Drosophila melanogaster: one gene and its partners. The protein of the gene in region 3 purifies or fractionates together with the protein of the main gene of each other region. This does not show direct contact. Each region holds a gene or a part of one and is shown on either strand. Other genes may lie near its edges. The genes, in order: Oscillin, CG9581, sphe and CG14823.

Region 1 (6,001 bases), on a different chromosome or scaffold from region 3:
ACTTGCAGTATTTAAACAAAAGTAGAAGTTATGCAGTTATGCCTGATCTTAAGCGAAATGCATTCTGTTGCTTAAACATTTCCTATTGTTATCTATACCTGGTTTTTCTTAGGGGAAATGCGAATTGGCAGGCAATACTTAGATCTGGAAGACCATCTGTCGCATCGCAGGTATAAAATCGGCCATAAGAATTTAAAGCTTCGAAAAAACCCAGCCTTTGACCTGCTCATAATCACAAACAGGTCAGAGCACCACCCACATCGACTACCTGTCGCACTATATAAACCCACCAAATCAACCTCATCATTATCACTCACATTCCAACCGCCGATAGCCATGGCTCAGTCCACGAATTCCAAGAAGCTGATGATGTTCCGCACTCCCAACGAGGAGGAGGCCCTGAAGAATCAGATCTTCATCTTTAACTCGCCCATTGACTACAAGGACCAGCAGCTGATCGTGTACCAGAAACCAGGCATCCTCACCGGAGACAAGGACTACGGCTACTGCGTGGTGTACAAGCGAGATCACTACGTGCTCAATAACCCGCCCAACTTCAAGAGCCCCACGAAGAGGAGCTTCCTCAACGAATGCATCCGCCAGTTGTATCTGATGAACGGCATGGGTCACAAGATGTACTGGAGGACTACAAGTGCAATGGCGCTGAGTACACCCGGCGAAGTGTGGCACCAGGTGAACAGTTGCCTGCTCCCAGAACGACTGACGCCGCAAAAGGAGAGCCTGAAGCGGGTGAAGAGGCAACTTTTCCGGGATCCACGGGCAGATCGCAAGAATCCCAACCCACTCAAAGGCAAATGCTGGGGCACCCAAGTCTTCTGCTTCAAATCGATGCGCGAGAAGATTGGCAGGAAGTACATCCGCCGGGGCTATCTGACCATCGCACGCCGCGAAGCCCTGCAGGAGATGATCCGTGAGCACTTGGCACGAGAAATGGTCTGCACTCCGGCCGCATGCAGAACGGTAATCAGCGCCTCCGACGGAATCTTCAATGTGAATGCCGGTGTCATCGGCGACATCTGTAGCTACCACAGCCACGCGGCTCGCCATCAGCCCGTCGTGGAGCGCCGTCTGACGGCCGGCGAAGCACGTCTCCGGAACAACGAGGCCTGTCGCCTGACTCAGCGGGCCAAGCGGCTGGAGGCCATGTTCATACACGAACAAGTGCGACGGGCCGTCCAGAACCACCAGCTCATTCTGGAGGAGTCGGTGCGATCCATCTACTATGCCAAGGAGCTCTTCCGCCTTATCGAGGATCACGAGGAGTTCGTCTACACGGACAACAAGATCCTGTCTAGAATCTGACGGACCCTTCTTGAATGGCATAGCCACCACTTTTATACCCCTTATAGTGTACACATATTTGTAATTATAGAACATTTAGATAATAAAATGGAAACCACAAAATTATACAGTGAACTTGAACTTTCAATATTTATGGGCAACCTAAAATTTATAGTTTTTAAATAAAAGATTACTCAACATCTTTCGCATAAATTTTAAAGAAATTTAAGGCGATAACATATAAAAATTCATTTATTGTATAAAAATTCGATTCCTTTTGATTGAAAAAACTATAATGCTGGTAACGATGGAATCCAGATCTCCATTATTCCCTTTAGTATCTGGGGTTACGTCGTCTTTTGTTGCTCTATCAGCTTGGAATGGACGTCCATCAGACTCTGCAAAATTGGTATATATATTAATTAATTATAATAATATTTAGAGTTTATTAGAAGAATATAACGTGTCTGCAAGTATATTTATATTTTAATTCATGTCAAGGTCCTAAGATTTTATCAAGACAATTGCTTTATATTTCTTAAAATGAAAAAACTTGGAAAAAAAGGCATTTAAAAGTAATATTTAATTTTGATTTCTTTTTTTAGCTGGATTATTCTAATGACCTTATAAGAACTAGTTTATAGCAGCAGGCAGTCTTCCATCCGATAATCATTACTTGTTGACTCTCTTAATCACAGAAATAGTCCTTGGAATCAATATCATTTACTTAAAAATTGCTTTGGAAAATAAAGCTGTATACTTTACGCATTATCAGTTTTTGTAGCCCTCCAGTGGGGAGCCTTCGTCTAGATCTCTGAGAATGCCCTGTGAAATTGTGGGAATGGCCAGTCAGCCAGTCGTTAACAAAATGCTGTCTCTTTTAACGTTCTACTTAACCGTATGCCTACAACCGTGGAAGCTTTTATATTACAAGCATATAGGCATGCAAAATTCTTAGACTTAACTAACAACCATATAAGAGTTCACATGTATCCAACTTCTGCTTCTAAAGATTAGATTTTCAAGTTAGGGGGGTTATTAGACCAACACCTTCGGTAGACCCTAATTCACCAGTATACCAGTTCTATTCCCAGTTCGTCTACAAAAGCGACGACATCGTGGGCGGGCATACCTTGAAATATTTAACGGTCTTAACTCTCAGCTCCAAAGTGGCATCCTCGTCGCAGATCATCAGGGTATTTGCATGCTGCTGGAAGGCACTGACGGTCCACATGTGATTCACACCCTCCTCGATGGCCTTGTACAGGGCAAATGCCTTGTGAGCTCCGGTGATGAGGATCATCACCTCCTTGGAGTCCATCACAGTGCCAACGCCCACGGTTAAAGCCTGTTTGGGCACCTTGCTCATATCGTTGTCAAAGAAACGGGCATTCGCTTCAAGTGTATCCTGCGCCAGAGTTTTCACCCGCGTTCGGGACACCAATGAGGAGCCGGGCTCATTGAAGGCAATATGGCCATCGGGTCCGATGCCACCGATGAACAGCTCCACTCCTCCAGCCTCGCGGATCTGATCCTCGAACTTATTGCACTCGGCCACCAGATCAGCTGCATTGCCATCCAAAATGTGCACATTCTTGGGCTCAATGTCGATGTGCTTGAAGAAGTTGTTCCACATGAAGTAGTGATAGCTCTCATGGTGATCTCTGGCCAGTCCTAGAAAAAGAATGGGGCACAATTGACATGAAACAGATCTAGTAAACGTTATGAAATGATAACTCACCCACATACTCATCCATATTGAAGGTTTTCACATACTGAAAGGATACCTTGCCCTGCTTATGAAACTCGATCAGTTCTTTGTACATTCCCAATGGCGTAGATCCCGTGGGCAGGCCCAAAACGAAGTATCTAAAGAATAGTGCCTGTTACCAGGTGCCAAATGTATATAGCTTATATGTATGTGCATACCTGTCGGCACTCGGCTGAAAGTCATTGATGCGTTTCATCACATATTTGGCCGCCCACTTGCCCACCGAGTCGCTGGTTTCCAAGATGACCAATCTCATTGTTAAGCTGAAAGCGTTATTAAATATATGAAATAAGTGCAGAATATGATAATCTTACTTTTCAGTGAAAATCTAAAACACATTACCGGCTGTGAGTGCCGAAAAGGAATGACAGTTCCGATATGGAAAAACAAAGGCCTTATCGTTAACTAGCCGAACCCAGGATTTAGATTAGATGTTGATAAGATACAAGAGTAATGCGGCTCATTCAGTTGTGTTTTTCGTGTGTGTACTCGCTTGTTTATTGTCCAAATCAGCTGATAAGCCGCAAGTACTTGGCCATTATTGACAATTAATCCATTTATGGCGTTGCCCCCATGGAAAACACTTTCGTTTTCACTTGGCAATGCGATTTGTACTTGCATTTATGCAATATACATATGTATTAACTTGGCTACTCACCTTCAAAACACGCGAATGCAAACAGCTGCTTATTGATGATTATTATTACTTGATTTTTGCTCGCACTGCTGCTTTTGTCGCTTATTTCCGATTTCAGCTGCTAACTGAGACTGTTCAATTGTTCAATTCGAACAGCAAATTTATGCAGCGATTAGCTCGAGTTTGAGTTTGTTTTTGCGGCTGCGGTTGGAATAAGAGAGAGAAAAAGAGAGAGAATAATCAGAAATGCAATTGCAAGCAACCTTGAGATACTTTTGTTATCGTTATCGCGGGTTAAACGGTCACTGCATTTGCCAGTTGAACGAACTTTAACCGCATCTCTCGCGTTGAGTGCGTTTCGTTTGAGTGGATTTTGCTCTCTTCTCTATCGACAGGGTTGACACCTAACATTTTTAAAAGAAACAATCATGGTCGGAAGAAGAAGAGAAATTATATTTATAAATGCGAAAGCACGTTGGTTTTGAAACGTCCTGCACTCAAAAATAATCGATAAGTCACTCAAAAATAAAGTTTATGAGCGAACACACGCATTGAAAAAGCATGTAGGCAACTAATACAGACGCAGAAAAATTAAAATTCCAAAAATAACTCATGGCGACGAATAGAAACGCAAAGCGAGTGACGAAAAAAGGGCCACCAGGCGTCGAAAGTGAAATGCGTACCCTACTATTACGAAATTCGTAGGAGCTTATTGGTTTCAGTATACGCTTTAAAACTATTTAATACTTTTTTATGTCTTTCTCTCTATTGCTAAATCAAAGTTTGTTTTTAATTTTTATTAAACATGGTTTCTTTATTTTTTAATTATCAAATTATTAGCAATTACATACATAAACGTAGATGTACTTAAAATTTAGTTGTATTCATCAGTTTTTGTATAATAGTCTGTGTGGGCGTTGCATTTGTTTGGCCGGCGTAAAACGCGACCACGCCCACCCATAAAAAATGCGACGGATCGCTGAGCCGCTACGTGTACTTCCATTTTCTTTCGTTTTTCTTCTTTGTTGCTTTTGTAATTGTTGTACATTTGTGTTGTTGCTGTTAATGCTGTTGTTGTTGTTGCTGTTCTTATTGTTGCTCGTCCGGTAAAATGTCTGCAGGAAGCTCAAGAACCGGTCTAAACCGGGAGAAAGCCGTTTTGGTGGATCGTAAACCCTATGGCCATGGCTAAAAATATATATTGCTGGCTGGTTGTCACTTCCGTAGGCATGAGTCTATATATATAATGTATGTATGTATATGTATGTATAATGTATAATGTATTTTATGTTGATTGTACAAAAAATACTTAAATAAATATGTCTGTTGTCAGGAGCGTTTGTTTTCTTTAGTTAATCCTCTTGACCTGTATCTTATAAATCACTCACTACGTGCTCGTTGTTTTTTTTTTGTTGTTGTTTGCTGACGTCGACTGGTTTATCTGGGATATAGCTTAAAAACTAATTTACTAAATATGTAGGTGGAGCGTAAGTACATCGAAAATATTGTTTTTCTTGCAATATTTTCAAAGTTCTTGCCGCCGCGAATACAAGAAGTGAACGTCTTACGTAAATTCTATGTGGCATAAAAAAGAGGCAACATGCCTCTCCAGTTTATACCAAATAAAGTTTACAATAGATTAGTTAACGCGGAAATACAAAAACATCGAAACAATAAACTATAGAATTTGTTAAGAAAGGGAAAACGAAAGTGTACAAACGAAACGAAGATTCAGGATGTCTTCTACACAAATGTTTTTGATTAAATAATTGGCGCTGCGGCCACAAAAAATAACTTAGCTGAATAATAAATCTCTGTACCTCGGTGTGTGTGTTTTTGGGTTCTAAATTATGATCTTCGTGTGTGCTTATTTTGTTTGTCTTGTTCAGCAAAGAGGAAAGAGTTGTGTTGTGCTGCGTTTGATTTTACATAATGGCGCACTTCTCGTTTGACTGCTGAGGATCGCCCTGCTGGTGGTAGAGCTGCTCATTGCCGTCCACGGCGGTCACGCTGCGACGACGACTCAGCCGGGAGGAGGATGTGTGTTGGGACACAATGCGCTTGATGCGATCCAGATTGGCCACGGCCTCGCCCTCGGAGTTCAGCAAAATCGTCCTAGTGTTGTCGGCGGAGACCCACTTCTGTGACTTCATCACAAGGCTCGATGGCGGCTCGTGCGAGGCCTTGGTGTCCGCCGACCAAACGGTGATCACGCCATTTGGCTCGATCCTCACCGATCGATGGAACTTGTAAGTGGTCGAAGGACCTTTCTCGTTGATTAGCCGCTGCAG
Region 2 (5,352 bases), 3.5 Mb from region 3:
CTCTCCGGGCAGACCATCGAGCAGGCCATCAAGCACGAGATGTCCGACGAGCTGCACGAGGCCATGATGGCCATAGGTCAGTATATATTTAACTGTTCCGTTATAAGTAATTGTTGTAACAGACACTTGGTTAAATGACACACTTCTTAACCTTTTAGTTGAGTGCGTCCAGTCACCGGCGGCCTTCTTCGCCAACCGCCTGTACAAGGCCATGAATGGCGCCGGCACCGATGACGCCACGCTCATCCGCATCATCGTCAGCCGCTCGGAGATCGACCTGGAGACCATTAAGCAGGAGTTCGAGCGGATCTACAACCGTACGCTGCACAGCGCCGTGGTGGTAAGTGGATCTCGAAGAATCGCGAGTGCTTCGCACATGGTTAACGCACCCCTTTCCCCTTCTCTTCACGTACTTGTCGGCATTTGTTGCGGTGTTTGTGTTGTCCTAGGACGTAAGTATTGGCCACGCCATTGGTGAAACGGATGTATTCCTGGTCTTGGTTACTCCACGTTATCAAGTGTTCCTTTTACGCTACATATGCTGCCAAAATCCCCATCAAATTATTTCTAAGAACGCCGAAGCAAACTGGTTCTTGGGCATTTTTCGATATCTCATTATTGGCTTGCCAAAAAAGTATTTTCGGGCAAAGTAGTAATTGTAGTGTAGAGGGCATAGCCAAAAAAGCAAGAACTTGGATCTCGCTTCAATACGTTCCTTTCTTTACTTTCCAGGCGGAGACCTCTGGTGACTACAAGCGGGCCCTGACAGCCCTACTTGGATCCGCCTAGGCCCGAGGATGTGGCAGCTGGTCCGCCCAATATTTTATTCGTGTTAATAGCTTTGATCGTAGTGTGCCTTTTAGGAAAATCGCTTTTAATGTCGTCTGCGCATGCGCACACTGTTGGCAATAAATAAACGCATATAGCAGCAGTTGTAACCAATGCGACGACTGACATAAACCTAGAGATCTGGGATCTGGCATCTAGCATCGGACATCGGGACTACTTAAAGAAGAGCTTGTGCAACTGCTTGGACTTCACGGGCACAAATTCTTGCATTTCATCCGGGTTGGTCCAGAAGGCCACACAGTTTTGAAGCTCAGTGCAAGGCGCCTCCCGATGGATGTACTCTTTCAGGATAAAGTCGTTCTCGATCTCGTGGTGGAAGCGGGTGTCGTGCATCCGGATTAGCACGTGGTCCACGCGCAGAAAGTGGCGCAAAAGGATGAAGAAGCCAGAGGGCATCACGCGCTGTGCCAGAAAGAGTTGGGCTTCTTCGATAAGGGCTCTATAATTTGTATTTATCAGCACTTACGATTCGCACGCTCATCACCGATATTCCGTGGTCGTGCAGCTCATCCTCGAACAGAGTTAAATCGTGGTAGAAGATGATGTTCTCGCGCTGCATCAGCTTGAACTTGTTCAGCGTCTGATTCGTGGTCTCCGATCGCACTTTTTCGTTCATGGTGCCCTGGTAGGTGGAGGTGAATGTCCAGTCGAAAGGCTTGAACTTCTCCTCCATTGTCTGCTCGTTACTGGAGTATAGAATTCAATCATTTGGGCGATTTATAGAGGAACAACAGTAGAACGATCCATATCCCAATCTCAATGGGAGTACCCACCGCGTTTCCCGCCACTCCTGAGCACAAGCGACCTCCAGCGGCTGCTTCCCATTGTCCACCAGCGCCAGCGCGTCCATGGGGCAGAACTCGAGAGTGGCGCCGTCCTTGTGCTGTAACACCAGCCGATTCTTGTGGAACACCATGTCGGGCAGGTGGGGCAGCTGCAGGGAGTGCTGGTAGTGGCAGAGGTCGCAGCGGTCGGCCGAGTCCTTGGGACAGCACTTGGCGGTGCCCAGTTGGCAGCTGCTCTTCAGGATGTGCGACTTCTCATACTTGATGGCCCAGTCGTGGAACTGGATGAACTCGCTGTCCACCGGCAGCCGGGGCACAAAGCACTGCAGGACGGGATTACATTGAGTGTTTGGCCATTGGAACTGGGCTATACCAACACATACCTCCTCCATGGACATTCTAAAGATATGTCAAATGATTTCAAAGTGTCTGTCTAAGTCGAAAATACTGTTCCAAAGCCCCCTATTGATCCTGTTAAAAATTTTTGTTATTATGTTAGGGATGCCAATGTCGATTACTTCTAAAGCTTAGCGGCGGTACTATCGAGGTTTTTCGATTGCAGCGCAATATTTAAATGCTATGGGGCGAAAGCAATCAAGTTGGCGTACTTGAGTGGATTCATAAGCTTATATAAGCCGTGGTTGTACACAATTCGAAATGAATCGCGTTTTTTGAAAGCTGCTATAGGTAAGGCGAAACTACATTCACATAGTTGTATAATTTTACAACGATAGTTATCGACATCTGTCAATCGGCGGGACTCTTGTTAAGCAATCGTCTGGCAACCCATGTGTTTTGTTTTTATCCAGGATCGTTAGTGTTTTTAACAGTTCCGTTTTCTGATGTGTATAATATTGTGAAGATTTTAGTTGGCAACCCAAGAACCGGAACCGGCAGCACGATGAATATCCTAAGGCGCCTGGACCGCCTGATCGCTCCCACCGTCCGCCGCAGCGCCGCCATTTCCACCAGCCTGTGGCCACACCGCTGGATGAGCCAGTCCACCACGATCTCCCCAGGAAGTCCCAGCAGCAAATCGACAGTAAACGCGGCCGAGGTGCGTGGCGTGGCTCAGATTCTGCGCCAGCAAAAGGGAAACCTGGGACAGCCCACCAGCGTCTCGCATCCACATCTTATCCAGCCGGACGAGCTGGTTCCGGGCGTGGAGCTGACCGAGATCAAGGAACGCCGTTCGCAGCTGATGCAAAACATCCGCGCCTATGCACGCAGTTTCGGCGGCGAGTTCAATGGGCACTCGAGTTCTTGTCACATGGTGAGGACCTGCAGGCTACAAAGAGAAGCAAAATATATAAACTTGAATCTCTGACAGCTCGTTCTGGGCGCCGCCTCCAAGAAGTATATGAGCGGCAAGATCCCGTACGTGTTCCGCCAGAACTCGGACTTCTACTACCTAACTGGCTGCCTAGAGCCGGACGCCGTGCTACTGCTGACCATCGACGAGGCCCAGAACGTGCAGTCCGAGCTGTTTATGCGTCCCAAGGACCCGCATGCCGAGCTGTGGGATGGTCCGCGCACTGGGCCCGAGCTCGCGGTGCCGCTTTTCGGAGTCACTGAGGCCCATCCGCTGTCCCAGCTGGAGGCGGTGCTGGCCAAGCGCGCAGGCGCCCTAAAACCACACATCTGGTTCGATCAGAAGAGCACCGACCTGCCGTCCCTGGCGGAGAACATGCTGCGATTGAGCGGCAATCAGCAGCGTCCGCTGCTGCCGGCCTACACTTTCCTAGAAGCCATGCGCCTGCTTAAGTCCCGCGACGAGATGCAGTTAATGCGGCGCACCTGCGACATAGCCTCACGCTCGTTCAACGAAGTGATGGCCGAGACCCGGCCAGGTCAGTCGGAGCACCATCTGTTCGCCGCGATTGACTACAAGTGCCGCATGCGCAACGCCAGCTACCTGGCCTACCCGCCGGTGGTGGCTGCCGGTAAAAACGCCACGGTGATCCACTACGTGGCCAACAGCCAGTTGTTGGGTCAGCAGGATCTCGTGCTGATGGACGCCGGCTGCGAGTATGGCGGCTACACCAGCGACATCACACGCACCTGGCCGGCGAGTGGGGTTTTCACGGAGCCGCAGCGCACACTGTACGACATGCTGCACCAGCTGCAGGAGGAGATTATTGGCAACGTGATGAAGCCGGGCGGCGAGACGCTCGACCAGCTGTTCGAGACCACCTGCTACAAGCTGGGCAAGTACTTGCAGGAGATCGGGCTGGTGGGCAAGTCGTTCAGCGAGTACAAGGAACTGGTCAGCCAGGGCTACCGCTTCTGTCCGCACCACGTCTCCCACTACCTTGGGATGGACGTGCACGACACACCGCACGTGCCACGCAACACACGCATCGTGCCCGGCATGGTCTTCACCGTTGAGCCGGGCATCTACATTGGCCAGGATTGCGGCGACGTGCCGCCCGAGTTCCGGGGCATCGGCATCCGCATCGAAGACGATCTGCTCATCAACGAGAACGGCCACGTGGAAGTTCTAACTGAGGCGTGCGTCAAGGATCCACGCGCCCTGCAGGAGCTTTGCAAACAGCAACAGAAGAACCCCGGTGCCTCATCCGCGGAGGCGTTTTAAGAGCTCACAACGAAAACCAAATTCCTAGTCATAAGCCTTTCATTCTCCCGACAACCTTATGAGCTGATTTGGGTCCTAAAGTAAAGGCAGATGCTGTATTTATAAATGCACACATGGCAAATACATTTTAAATTCTGTCAGATTGCAGATTACATATTACAGGTTACCGATCACAGCTTGGCGAACACTGGCTTATCGTCCTTCGTCAACTGGGCGGCCACAGCCTGGGCGAAGTCCTCCGACAGCAGGTTGAGCTTGTTCAGCAGGAGCTGCAAGGTGTGAGGCGTGAGGCGTGGTTAGCTCGTGCAAATTCGTTGAGATATTAGGATACCCACAATGTGATCCAAGCCCTCTTGATTGGTGTGCTCCAGGGAGTACACGAGGCTCTCCTTGGTTGTCTTTACGGCGACGGGACTCTTGCTAGCGATGAGCTCGGCCACGGCCAGGGCTCCGGTCAGCAGGGAATCCTTGTCTGGGAAGAGGCGACTCACCAGGCCCGAGGAGTGGGCCTCGGCGGCCTCGAATTTGCGCCCAGTGAAGCACAGCTCGCGGGCGAGGGACTGACTGCCCACTGCCTTGGGCAGACGCTGCAGGGTGCCCACGTCGGCGGCCATGCCGATGTCCACCTCCTTGACCTGGAAAAAGGCGTCCTCGGTGCAGTAGCGAATGTCGGCGGCGGTAATCAGGTCCACGCCGGCGCCGATGCACGCCTTGTGCACCGCCGTGATGACCGGCTTGGGGCAGTGCTCCAGGCTGCTGATTGAGTCCTGGTACACCTTGATCATTCGCTCCATGGAGACGCCCTTGCGGGCGTAGTCATCGGTCTCGGCCAGCGTTTGGCCCACGTTTATCATGTCGTTGAGGTCGATGCCGGCGGTGAAGTGCTTTCCGGAGGCGGACAAAACGATAGCCCGGCAGTCGGGATTAGTGGCCAGTCCGTCGAAGCACTCCTTGATCTCCCTGGAAATGGGTAACGCAGTTTGGGTTAGCAGTCTGCGGAACAGGAAACGGGAAGCTATTGGATAACCCACAGCCACATCTGCTTGCTTATGGCGTTGAACTTGCTGGGCCGATGGAGCTCCACATGAAAGACGAACGGCTTGGGCGAACTGACGGCCAGCG
Region 3 (4,735 bases):
GATGGGCCCATTCAGTTGCCAATCCATCGCCATGGCTGATCCACGCATTACTCTCGGCCTCGGCCTGCTAATCTTTGGCCTGATCCTCTCCGCGGAAGCCTCGCCACAAGGTCGCATTCTTGGCGGCGAGGACGTTGCCCAGGGCGAGTACCCCTGGTCCGCATCCGTGAGATACAACAAGGCCCACGTCTGCTCCGGCGCCATCATCTCAACAAACCACATCCTGACCGCCGCCCACTGTGTGTCCAGCGTGGGCATCACCCCGTGAGTTCTAACTACACTTTATGATTATATACACTTGGATTCCCTAAGCACTTCACTTTGAGAACTTTAAGAATATATATTCATCTACCAGTTCTAATCCCTATTTGTTCTAAATCCCCAGAGTGGATGCCAGCACCTTGGCTGTTCGCCTGGGCACCATTAACCAGTACGCCGGCGGCAGCATTGTGAATGTAAAGAGCGTGATCATCCATCCATCGTACGGAAACTTCCTGCACGACATCGCCATACTGGAGCTGGACGAGACCCTGGTCTTTAGCGATCGCATCCAAGACATCGCACTGCCCCCCACAACTGATGAGGAGACGGAAGATGTGGACGCTGAGCTGCCCAACGGAACTCCGGTCTATGTGGCTGGATGGGGTGAACTTTCGGATGGTACTGCATCCTATAAACAGCAGAAGGCCAACTACAATACGCTGAGCCGATCCCTGTGCGAATGGGAAGCCGGATACGGCTACGAATCCGTCGTCTGCCTCTCGAGAGCCGAGGGCGAGGGCATCTGTCGTGGGGATGCCGGTGCGGCTGTCATCGATGACGACAAGGTGCTTCGCGGTTTGACCAGCTTCAACTTCGGACCCTGCGGCAGCAAGTATCCGGATGTGGCCACCCGTGTCTCCTACTACCTAACCTGGATCGAGGCCAATACCCAGTAAAACTTTTGGTTCGCCATCCAAGGACTACCCTTTATTTTTTTATACATTTTTTTCATGTGCATAAAGTGTGTTACTCCCTCTACAAAAAAAAACGTTTTGTGTTTTTAACTTTATATGGATGCAAACTATATGGAATTTAGTGCTGGTCATAAAGCTACAATCGATAGAATAACATTTAATTGGCGCCGTTCAAAGGTTCTTTAATTACTAAGAAATTACCTTGAAACCTGTTTCTAATTTATGGGATGCCGTCAAGGATTATCTAACAAAATTGCCAAGTAAATGGTCACAACAATTGGCTATTATTGTTTATGGAGTCATATATATTAGAGAGTATGGCTATTTAACAGAACATTTAGATAGAGATCGAAGGAAATCGCCGTAATCAACCTGGGAACCAAACTTTTGTGCAGCTAGCTTGATCAATCGCCAATGACTGGGCTAAATCTTTATAATCCAGATTTGTTATCGCCAAGCTAAAGGGTAATTCCTACTAAATACGTTGATAATTTGCTTACATTCAAGGCAATTTTATAGAGTTTAATTAACACCAAAATGTTTAGACATTTTATTGAAAGAGCAACTCAAAAAATCCAAAGTTTTCCACGACTGATTTTAGATTATTCTGAGACCTGAAGCACCCTAATTTCCGTAGCTCCCCTGAGTCATGTGTTACTCATCATTATCTCCTATAGATGGTTGTAGTTGTACTGTCACTGGACACTGGTCGTTTGGTTTATTTGGACTTCCCTTCAACCGACTTGTGCAATTTTCTATTTATGTGCCAATTAATCGGTGAACTAACAAGTAACAATAGTCTATAGCGGCATAAAGCCATTGCCATAAGGCGATAAGATTAGATTTTCTCTGATGCCCAAGCCGAAGATAAGGATTGGTCAAGGAAGTGGTGGAGAACTTCGGGTAGAAGGTGGAGGAGGTGGTAGTTATATGGAGCTAGTCTCTTATATTCTCGTCGCTGGCATTGCGCATTTTCATTCCAACTGCCGTGGGTAGCAGAACCACCAAATAAAAAACCAAAAAAAAAATACAGGAACAAAATGATGCAGCCGAGACTAGTGATTTTGGGTCTGATCGGATTGACGGCGGTGGGCATGTGCCACGCCCAGGGACGCATCATGGGAGGGGAGGACGCGGACGCCACAGCCACGACCTTCACCGCCTCCTTGCGGGTGGACAATGCCCATGTGTGCGGCGGTAGCATTCTCTCCCAGACCAAAATCCTGACCACCGCCCACTGTGTGCATCGCGATGGAAAGCTGTGAGTACCAAAGTCAATCTACTAATTAATTAATTTTTACTACTAATTAATTGATTCATATTATTAATATTAAGTGCTCTTAAATAGTGGAAGTAGCAAATATGTAGTTTGGTTTGTACAACTAGGCGAATGAGTGATATTTGAAGATGGCCTATGCCTCGAATAACCATGTATTCCCTTTTTGTTTAAACCATTATATACAATACATTCAATACAAAAGTCTTGATAAAGTAATCTAGATTATTCTCACGAAATCCCCAACAGAATCGATGCCAGTCGCCTGGCGTGCCGCGTGGGCAGTACCAACCAGTATGCTGGTGGCAAGATTGTCAACGTGGAATCGGTTGCAGTGCATCCGGACTACTATAATCTGAACAACAACCTGGCCGTGATCACGCTGAGCTCTGAGCTGACCTACACCGATCGGATCACTGCCATCCCGCTGGTCGCCAGCGGAGAGGCACTGCCCGCCGAGGGATCGGAGGTGATCGTGGCCGGCTGGGGACGCACCAGCGACGGCACCAACTCCTACAAGATCCGTCAGATATCGCTAAAGGTGGCCCCGGAGGCGACCTGCCTGGATGCGTACAGCGATCACGACGAGCAGAGCTTCTGCCTCGCCCACGAGCTGAAGGAGGGCACCTGCCACGGAGACGGAGGCGGTGGTGCCATCTATGGCAACACGTTGATCGGGCTGACCAACTTTGTGGTGGGCGCCTGTGGCTCCCGCTATCCGGATGTCTTTGTCCGACTCTCCAGCTACGCGGATTGGATCCAGGAGCAGATCGCCTAGATCCGTTTCATCCCGTTTTTCCTTCACAAGCTAACAAAATAGAAACTATTTTCCCAAACTCAAAGCGGGCAAAATGACTCAATAGTTTGATTTTGATAAGGATAAGGATCGGTGATTGCCACTGGACTTGTGGTTAACGTAATAATCGCTAACTAAGCATGCTTATTTATTGTATTTATGACCTCAATGGCATGGCTTTTATAGCCCAGAACTCGAGTCATCGATAAAGCATTCCGGTTTTAGGGTCAATTTAGGCAAGCTTTACGTAATTTGGGCCTACAATTAGTTATATAAGGAAACTTGAAGACTTTTCAAAATCCAAAACCAAACCTTTTTTTTAAATGCCTTCTTTTGCTGTTCGAAACTGAAGAGATCTGCACTTTAAGATCTAATAATTATAATAAATGTGCAATAATTATGCAATAGGAAACTTTCGGCAAATTTCGTTTAAACATTTTCGTGCTTCCTTAACCCTTTTCGTCCAACTTTGACCTCCAAACTCTTACCACCGTGCGTTGCACACCCCTTGTAATTAGAGGGGCTTCATTTGCGAACGAAATGGGGTAACTAAACTAAATTAGGCAGCAGCTCGATAGCGACATTGACTTTGACATTTTAAGGAACTAATGATGATGAGCGTCTTAGATTTGGGTAGTATATATGCATACATATACATATATATATATATACATCCAGTGAAACTTGCAGTGAGCACTGCTTTTCAGTTAGCTAAGCCCAACCAGTCATGTTACCATTCTGGACATCTCTACTCGTCCTTTGCGCAGCCGGAGTCCTGGCACAAAACGATTCCGTAGTGGAGCCCCGCATTGTGGGCGGCACCAAGGCGAGGGAGGGTCAGTTTCCTCACCAGATCTCACTACGTCGACGTGGAAGCCACACTTGTGGTGGCTCCATAATCTCCAAGGACTACGTTGTCACCGCCGCCCATTGCGTTAAGCAAGGCAACAATGTGTAGGTATTGAATCTTCGGGATTTCGCGTTTCTCAATCAGAGTGCTTGCCCTTAGAGCTCCAGCTAATGAGCTGGAGATTCAGGCGGGCAGCCTGCTCCTTTCCAGCGGAGGAGTTCGCGTTCCAGTGGCCACCGTCACCGTGCATCCCAATTACAACTCCAATGGCCACGATGTCGCCGTGCTGCGACTTCGCAACTCGCTGACCTTTAACTCCAACATAGCCGCCATCAAGCTGGCCACCGAAGATCCGCCCAACGATGCCACCGTGGACATCTCCGGCTGGGGCGCCATCTCCCAGCGCGGACCGATCTCCAACTCCCTGCTCTACGTGCAGGTGAAGGCCCTATCCCGGGAATCTTGCCAGAAGACGTACTTACGCCAGCTGCCGGAAACCACGATGTGCCTGCTGCATCCCAAGGATAAGGGTGCCTGCTACGGGGATTCCGGTGGTCCGGCCACCTACCAGGGCAAACTGGTCGGCTTGGCCAGTTTCGTCATCGGTGGCTGCGGACGAGCTGCGCCCGATGGCTACGAAAGGGTCTCCAAACTGAGGAATTGGATCGCCGAGAAGGCCAGTTTGTAAAAACAAAAAAAAAACGAGGTCCGGAAATCACGCAAAGATATCACGGAAAATTCCCATGGAAAAACGGTTTTCTATTTAACTTATATATATTATTTCACATTATTTTTAGCAACATAGCAGATTACTATGTTGTAAAACGCACTTCAATAATAAATATAAAATATTATCA
Region 4 (6,492 bases), on a different chromosome or scaffold from region 3:
TCTTTACATTAAAAGGGCTATTGCCTGACCACCCCCTTCTCATTTAAGCCATAATGGGCATCTTGCCGCAAATCTAATTAACTTTGTTTTAGCATGCTACGTGCCCCGTGTACATCAGCCGGAATGGCCACATTGGCTCAACTCATGCATATCGCATGCAACAGCGGCAGCGGCAAAAGGACGAGGTGGTCAAACTGGGCGGAAAGAGGAAGTGGGTGGCAAAATCAGACCGGAAAGAGCCGTTACCGTTACCGCTGAACGGCAGCTTGCCGCCCACCATAATCGAGTGCACCAAGTGCTCGTACTCGCGTTCAGATTTCAGCTCATTTTCATTTTCCTTTCCCATTTTCGTGCATTTTCCGCGCGCGGAGAAAACCCGAAGGACGAGGTCTTAAATGCCAGCTCACAAAAGGAACTGGAGTGGAAAATTTGCAAGAAAAGAATTCACCGCATATTATTTCACATGCATGGCGACACCCTCATCCCATTCGTATCCCAAAAGCAATCCCAATCCAAACGGTATAAAGGCCATTTAGCCCAACCACTGGTAATTTTTCCATAATTGATTTTGGCTTGCGGTCTGGCTCGTCCTTTCATCTGGCCATGTGTTAGTCAGGGGCAGGAAACCCTCACGCACCCCCACACATACAAATGAGTTTTTGCCTTGGCCGTATGTGAAGAAAAACATACCGAAATGGGAAACGGAAACGCCTTGAGACAATGGCGACATTGGCGAGGCAATGTGGAAATGGCTGCTGTACAGAAAAACTGAAAGAATAATCAACTAAGTGACGGAGCATTTCTTTTATTTGCCGAGCACCTGTGCAGGATGTGTTCAGAGGCGTCCCCAAAAAAAAGGGACGATAGTTTTGGAAAAATTCTTAACGAATATTTGAGCATGCTCTGGCAAAAGAAGGAAATTATTTGCTTGTATATTTCTTTAAATAGGAAATGAACAACTTAAATAAATTCAAAGTCTTCTTTCCCATTTTAAAATCTTAAAATCTTTAATTTGTTTGATATTTTCGCAAAACATGGAATTCTTTTGTATTTACACTTTTGGAAGCAGTTTGTAAAAATTGTTTGAGTGCCAAAAGTCCAAGAATGCAAGGCGTGATTGGAAGGTGTCAACAACTTTGTTCTCATCTCAATGAAAAGTTTTCGAAAAATCTTTGCTGTCCCACTTGATAGCAAACAAACTTGATCGAAGATATTCTAGAAAAATAATATAAATAAATGGGAAGTAAACAGAGATTTGCAGCATTTTAGGATGCATTGCACGGGTACACCCACACTTTGCTGTTGACAGATTTCGATGGTCGTGAAGTAAGTTTGCGTATGAAGAAGTGGCACTTCAGGAGGCTTCGAGGACGTCCTGGTCACACCCCTTCTCGAAGGATGACGCTCCTTCCACTGGATACTGGTGCCACAAACGGCTGCTGTTGTTTGCTGCCCCAACTTTCGTTCCAATTTCGCCGCAAGAGTCTCAACAATTTCTCATATTTGTTTACAATTCGCGCATACAAATGCGCAAGGTTATCAGCAAAACCAGCCACCCAACCACCACCCATTTGGCAAATATCGCCACCCATTTCCCCCCTTTCAATGGACGGCTGCCATAAGTTGTCATGTCGCAAATGGAAGCGGAGTGTCACCGACACCCAATCTAAAGATACACGTGAAAAAATCAAATGAATATGTAATAAAATCAATAAAAACTACATACTGCTGAAATTTAAAAAAAAAATTATGTTCCATGTCACGAAAACATATGTATTAAATATATTAAACTATGCTTCCATGAAAAATTGTGCATACATTCAGTTCTTTATTAGAGCTGTTATAATTAATCAAATGCCAAAGAAATATAAGAGAATGAAATTAAAAATATACAAAGCTTAAAATTAAATGCAGATACCACATTTTTGATAATATTTTTATTCACTTTCTGAAATAATTTCAATCATATTAGTTTGAGTATTATGTGCAAAATAAGCACGGCTTGGTCGCCAATGCTGCCGAATATAGTACTTTTAAAATAAACTCACTACTTGTTTAAATTCGTGCCACTTTTAGGAATGAAACCACATGCAATTTAAACTTGTTGAGGTGTACAACTACTGATGTTCGGGAATTGGAGAAAAATCACCATGTTGAGCGCCACTTGAATGCGAGAGAAAAATCACCGAAATGCTGGAGGAATGGAGAACAAACGCTGGAACAGATTAGCTGGTCGGGGGAAAAAAAAACGCTGGGAATGTAGAAACCGCAATCGCCGGGCATCAATTACGCCGACAACATTGAGCGATAATCGAGGGGAGGTTATCTCGAGCAGCACCTGTAACTTGGTACCATGTACAAATGCCACAGAGTGTTCCAGCTATTCGCTTGGGTTAGTCGGTTTGCGATAGCAAAGGGAGAAGCCAGCTCGCCATGGAGCCCACATGCAGCAGCAGTGTGGCGGAATTGGCCAAATACAGTGAGGATGATGTGGAAACGGATGAGTCCAAGGTGGTGGAGCATCAGGAATATGCCGAAGCGCTGTCAATGTCCGGGGAAAGTCGTAAGCGGAAACGATGGACTCGAAGGTCCTGCTGCACTCGCCAAGTCCTGAGTACGGGCGCCATTTTCATCGCCCTTCTGCTCATCATCGGCGCCATTTACATGCACTTAAGACAGAAGCATCATCTGGGCCGACTGCACATCAATCTCAAGGATCGGGGGCAAGTGGAGGTCCTGGAGGAGGACTTTCCCATGGTCACCGCTGCGGGAGTGGGTGAGTGTGCCACAAGGACTCTTGTTCAATCGCTAAGAAGCTCTTAGACTTCGGTTAATTTTATAAGCGGTTTATATTGTTGGGATAGTGGTATTTTCTCTCTTTTTCTTTGTTTTGTTTTTTTTCTTTCCCAGCTGACTGATTAGAATTGCCATTAGATGAACCAGCAGATTTCAACGTTTCGAAATTATAGCGATAATAAATAAAAGCTTGTATTTATTACACAACAACTATGCAACGCGTGAGTTGTTTTTATTGTATATAAAAAATTTTAATCGATCATTTCAATAAGTGACAGTCATCGACAGTATGTCAAGCACGTAAAAGTTTGAGATTAAACTGTAAATAATAAATACACATCTGCTAAAGTTTGCCAGCATTCAATATAGATTTATAGTTTCTACATTCGCCTTAAGTTCGACTTGAAAACTTTAGTCTCAAACAATTATTTTTCCGACGGAAGACTTATATTTATTAAGTAACAGGAAGTTTGTAAACACCAAATGTGAACTCAATTTAAGTTTCGTTTAGCAACGTCCTCTGCACTTATAAGGCCAAAATATAGTCGGAACTATGTTTTACATCAATTTAAAGTTCATAAAAGTGCAGTTTAAAGTTGCTTCAGTAAATCTGCTAATAAAACATACTCAAAAAACTTTGCAACTAACGAGGAGAGTGCGGTTTAAACGTGAGGTCTAGGAGCTATTTACGTCCACGGGAACTATGGATAACTCACTGCCAACTATGCTGCATGCTGTTAGCCATATTGTGTGGTAAATAGTTTCGATTAAACGGCTAATTGGACCCTCTTTGGAATGCATTTTGCAGATGCCCAGACCTCGACGATAACAACATTCCAGCCGCCTCCGACATCCTCCCCAGAGCCCAGTGCCAAGTGCCTGGACTGCATGGCCACCACTGCCACGGATAATATTCCGGCAATCTGCAGGCACCGAGGACGACCAGAGGAGCCGTGCGGCATTTATCGCATCTCCCACGTCTACTGGCAGGACGCACTCCGGATAATTGACCCGGACGACTCACTCGCCCGGGGTAATGAATACACTGAGCAAAAATGTTTGGCAACAAAATTACAACAAGTCGAAAGCATAAGCCATTTCTCCATTTCTCTATTAATTTTAAATTTGCTTTTCATCTTCAGTTTCAAGATTTTGTTGTAAATTTCTTCATGTGTATCCTGTTGTTGCCAGGCTGCCACAAGCGTGTAATGTCCACCGACTAACCCTTTTTCCTACATCTCACCCTTCAACCCACAGACTACGGAAGATGCGTGGTGGATGTCCAGTGCGCCGAGCGTATTGTGCGTAGCTATGTGCAGCGATATGGTGGCGAGGATTGCAATGGAGACGGACGGATCGAGTGTCGGGATCATGTGAGGCTGCACATGAGAGGACCCGGCGGCTGCCGCAGGCAGGAGCCACTGGGGAGCCTGTCTGAGAGGAGATTGGAAAACTGCTTGAAATACAGGGGGATTACTTAAAACCGATTGTTCGTTTATTGTTTCAACTGCAGGCGATGCATTATGGGCCGCCAGTAGAGGGTTAGCACAAAGAGGCCTATGAACTCGTGGAACAGCAGCAGGGCGGCGAACTTGTCATCGAACAACTTGGTCGAGGCCCTTCTTCCGCCCATGATGCACTGCACATGATACATCAGGAACTGCAAGTGATTTGTGGTTATGCGGCAGACAGTTGCAGGCTGGTAAAATGCGAAAAATGCTTACCATCATCACCACACAGCCGATACAGAATGCGAAGAGATAAAATCCCCAGATCACGTCGAGAACCACATACAATACCAGGGAGTATATGCTCAGTGAGTAAGTGCCAGTTGCAAGGGCATATAGGTAGAGTCCGGTGCCTGTGAGGTCATACTTAGGCAAGATTTTGGTTGATTATTTAACATCCTTTATCTGTACTAGCTTACCGCCATTAAAGCAGCTATAAGTGTACATAACACAAATGCAAGGCTGACAATCAGAAATCCGGCAAGCATATAAAGTACTCCCGATGATATGATCAGCACACTGAGAGAAACTACCACACATTCCACCTTAATATGCTATGGGGTTACATTGTTAGGTAATTTAATTGTTAGAATACCCACGATAATAAACGTAATCAGCCAGTTGACACAGGACATTTTCCTTAGCGGCATACTTAGGGCAAACAGGAAAAGTAGGAAAATGCCAAATACAAAGGCTAGGAGCAATGCAGATGAGTGCTCGTTTACCAAGACCAGAAACCATTCGCTAGTAGTAATTACATAAATCATAAGTAAAAAAGTTATTATCCAAATCTTACTGCAGCAAGGTTAGCACCAGGATCCAGTGAACAAATCCTATCACAATGAAGACGCATAACTCCAGAATAACCTTTATGATATATCTTCGCCTATCATCCACAGATTCCGAGTGGAAAAACGGCCAGATGGTTATATCTGCCTCGAACATGGCAAAAGAAAAAATAGTTTGATTTTGGGCACCAGGCCGTCTGAGGCAAAGTAACTCTGAGATTCGTATAAAAAATTTACGCTATTCCCGGCATGGACACACTAATTGCACATCGAAATGGGCCGTCCAGAGCACAAAGTTAATGGGAGCGAATTAGAACAAACAATGACGACGATTCGGCGTACATAATTGAACTCGACAAAACTTTATAATCTGGCAGCATCGCGAACAAATTGAACAACAACTCGCAAGTGTGTAATAATTAAAAGTTTGCGCAAAATGTAGCGGACAAACAAGCGGAGGGGAGACAAAAGTTTTGGCGCAAGTTTTAAATCATTTAGCAGGGCCGGACTAATTGCTGCCATGTCGCATTAATTTGTTGCGACTGATAGCGGGCAAACAGTGCGTATGCGCAATGCATAAATTTATGATTTCCATCATGGCCTACCTAGGATTTGTCGGACTCTTAATCGCAGGATAAAGAGACTTATGGCATAGGTTTGCATATACTTATAATACAAATCTAAGAACTTTTTGTTAATTCATGATTCAACTTCAATGTTTATAAAGTTGGCAGAGTTTTAATACCGAGATATTTTTCTCTGTATTTTATATTTCACATTTAATTATTTTAGCCTTACCGACATCAATGCCCAAGTAAGTCGGCATTGTTTATCCCTAGGACGATGACGTTGATTTCTGCCTCGCCTGAGTCCTAATCTCTCGATTGCATGACAAGTGTACATAACTTTATTCAATCAAATGTGCAAATAGCGCATGTTGCAAACAGAAATAGTCCAAATGAGCAGACAATATGCGGCATAGACAATCCGATAAGAAGCGACTCAGACTCGCGATTCGTGTTCATTAGTTATTGTCGATATTGAGCGCTGTTGATAAACATGGCTTGATTGTTTGATTGATTGGGGACCGACCGGCTGAACTGCTGAATTGCTGCCAACTGGCCATGGCCAAGGACAAAAGAGTTTCATTTAAAAACAATTACCAATTCGGTTGAATAACTCGATGTGCGCTGATATTTTTCTTTTTCACTGGTCCGTGTCAAAGGTGTCGTTCATCCACGATGGGAAGGGTGTGAGGGAAAGCTGAGCCGGGGCTGGAAAAGCCGCGGGGGGTGTTCTCGAAATTGATTGCTTTATTGCAGTACGGCGAGGAGATAGAATGGCAGAGATGGAGGTGAACTGAAAGTGGTGCAAAATTGATGGAATGCACTGCCAGTTGT

The links.
Region 1: the proteins of sphe (region 3) and Oscillin purify together in Drosophila melanogaster (affinity purification with mass spectrometry, with the first as the bait; one large-scale study listed by BioGRID). This does not show direct contact.
Region 2: the proteins of sphe (region 3) and CG9581 purify together in Drosophila melanogaster (affinity purification with mass spectrometry, with the first as the bait; one large-scale study listed by BioGRID). This does not show direct contact.
Region 4: the proteins of sphe (region 3) and CG14823 purify together in Drosophila melanogaster (affinity purification with mass spectrometry, with the first as the bait; one large-scale study listed by BioGRID). This does not show direct contact.

Annotation. Positions count from the first base shown.
Region 1 is NT_033779.5:5,545,143-5,551,143, reverse strand, and holds Oscillin (oscillin), read right to left. Parts: upstream 4,059-6,001; 5' UTR 4,039-4,058; intron 3,942-4,038; exon of another isoform or gene 3,912-3,941; 5' UTR 3,732-3,911; exon of another isoform or gene 3,337-3,731; 5' UTR 3,330-3,336; coding exon 3,232-3,329; intron 3,172-3,231; coding exon 3,044-3,171; intron 2,977-3,043; coding exon 2,435-2,976; coding exon of another isoform or gene 2,402-2,434; exon of another isoform or gene 2,128-2,401; coding exon 2,074-2,127; 3' UTR 2,068-2,073; exon of another isoform or gene 1,725-2,067; intron 1,701-1,724; coding exon of another isoform or gene 1,650-1,700; 3' UTR 1,530-1,649; downstream 1-1,529. Other genes in the region: CG14014 (uncharacterized protein), read left to right, coding at 337-1,323; Lam (lamin), read right to left, coding at 5,636-6,001. UniProt on the Drosophila melanogaster protein: Catalyzes the reversible conversion of alpha-D-glucosamine 6-phosphate (GlcN-6P) into beta-D-fructose 6-phosphate (Fru-6P) and ammonium ion, a regulatory reaction step in de novo uridine diphosphate-N-acetyl-alpha-D-glucosamine (UDP-GlcNAc) biosynthesis via hexosamine pathway.
Region 2 is NC_004354.4:20,167,029-20,172,380, reverse strand, and holds CG9581 (uncharacterized protein), read left to right. Parts: upstream 1-2,399; 5' UTR 2,400-2,535; coding exon 2,536-2,907; intron 2,908-2,964; coding exon 2,965-4,230; 3' UTR 4,231-4,339; downstream 4,340-5,352. Other genes in the region: AnxB10 (annexin B10), read left to right, coding at 1-76, 159-340, 450-452, 733-789; CG9578 (uncharacterized protein), read right to left, coding at 1,003-1,251, 1,316-1,535, 1,623-1,957, 2,018-2,032; CG9577 (uncharacterized protein), read right to left, coding at 4,401-4,499, 4,566-5,190, 5,262-5,352.
Region 3 is NC_004354.4:16,699,159-16,703,893, reverse strand, and holds sphe (spheroide), read left to right. Parts: upstream 1-1,921; 5' UTR 1,922-1,996; coding exon 1,997-2,217; intron 2,218-2,481; coding exon 2,482-3,010; 3' UTR 3,011-3,448; downstream 3,449-4,735. Other genes in the region: CG9673 (uncharacterized protein), read left to right, coding at 32-264, 386-938; CG9676 (uncharacterized protein), read left to right, coding at 3,756-3,982, 4,038-4,566.
Region 4 is NT_037436.4:7,063,951-7,070,442, forward strand, and holds CG14823 (uncharacterized protein), read left to right. Parts: upstream 1-2,363; 5' UTR 2,364-2,433; coding exon 2,434-2,776; coding exon of another isoform or gene 2,777-2,823; exon of another isoform or gene 2,824-2,910; coding exon of another isoform or gene 2,911-2,918; exon of another isoform or gene 2,919-3,017; intron 3,018-3,604; coding exon 3,605-3,829; intron 3,830-4,053; coding exon 4,054-4,277; 3' UTR 4,278-4,291; coding exon of another isoform or gene 4,292-4,456; 3' UTR 4,457-4,520; coding exon of another isoform or gene 4,521-4,670; 3' UTR 4,671-4,723; coding exon of another isoform or gene 4,724-4,849; 3' UTR 4,850-4,903; coding exon of another isoform or gene 4,904-5,048; 3' UTR 5,049-5,100; coding exon of another isoform or gene 5,101-5,249; 3' UTR 5,250-5,513; downstream 5,514-6,492. Other genes in the region: CG32391 (uncharacterized protein), read right to left, coding at 4,292-4,456, 4,521-4,670, 4,724-4,849, 4,904-5,048, 5,101-5,249.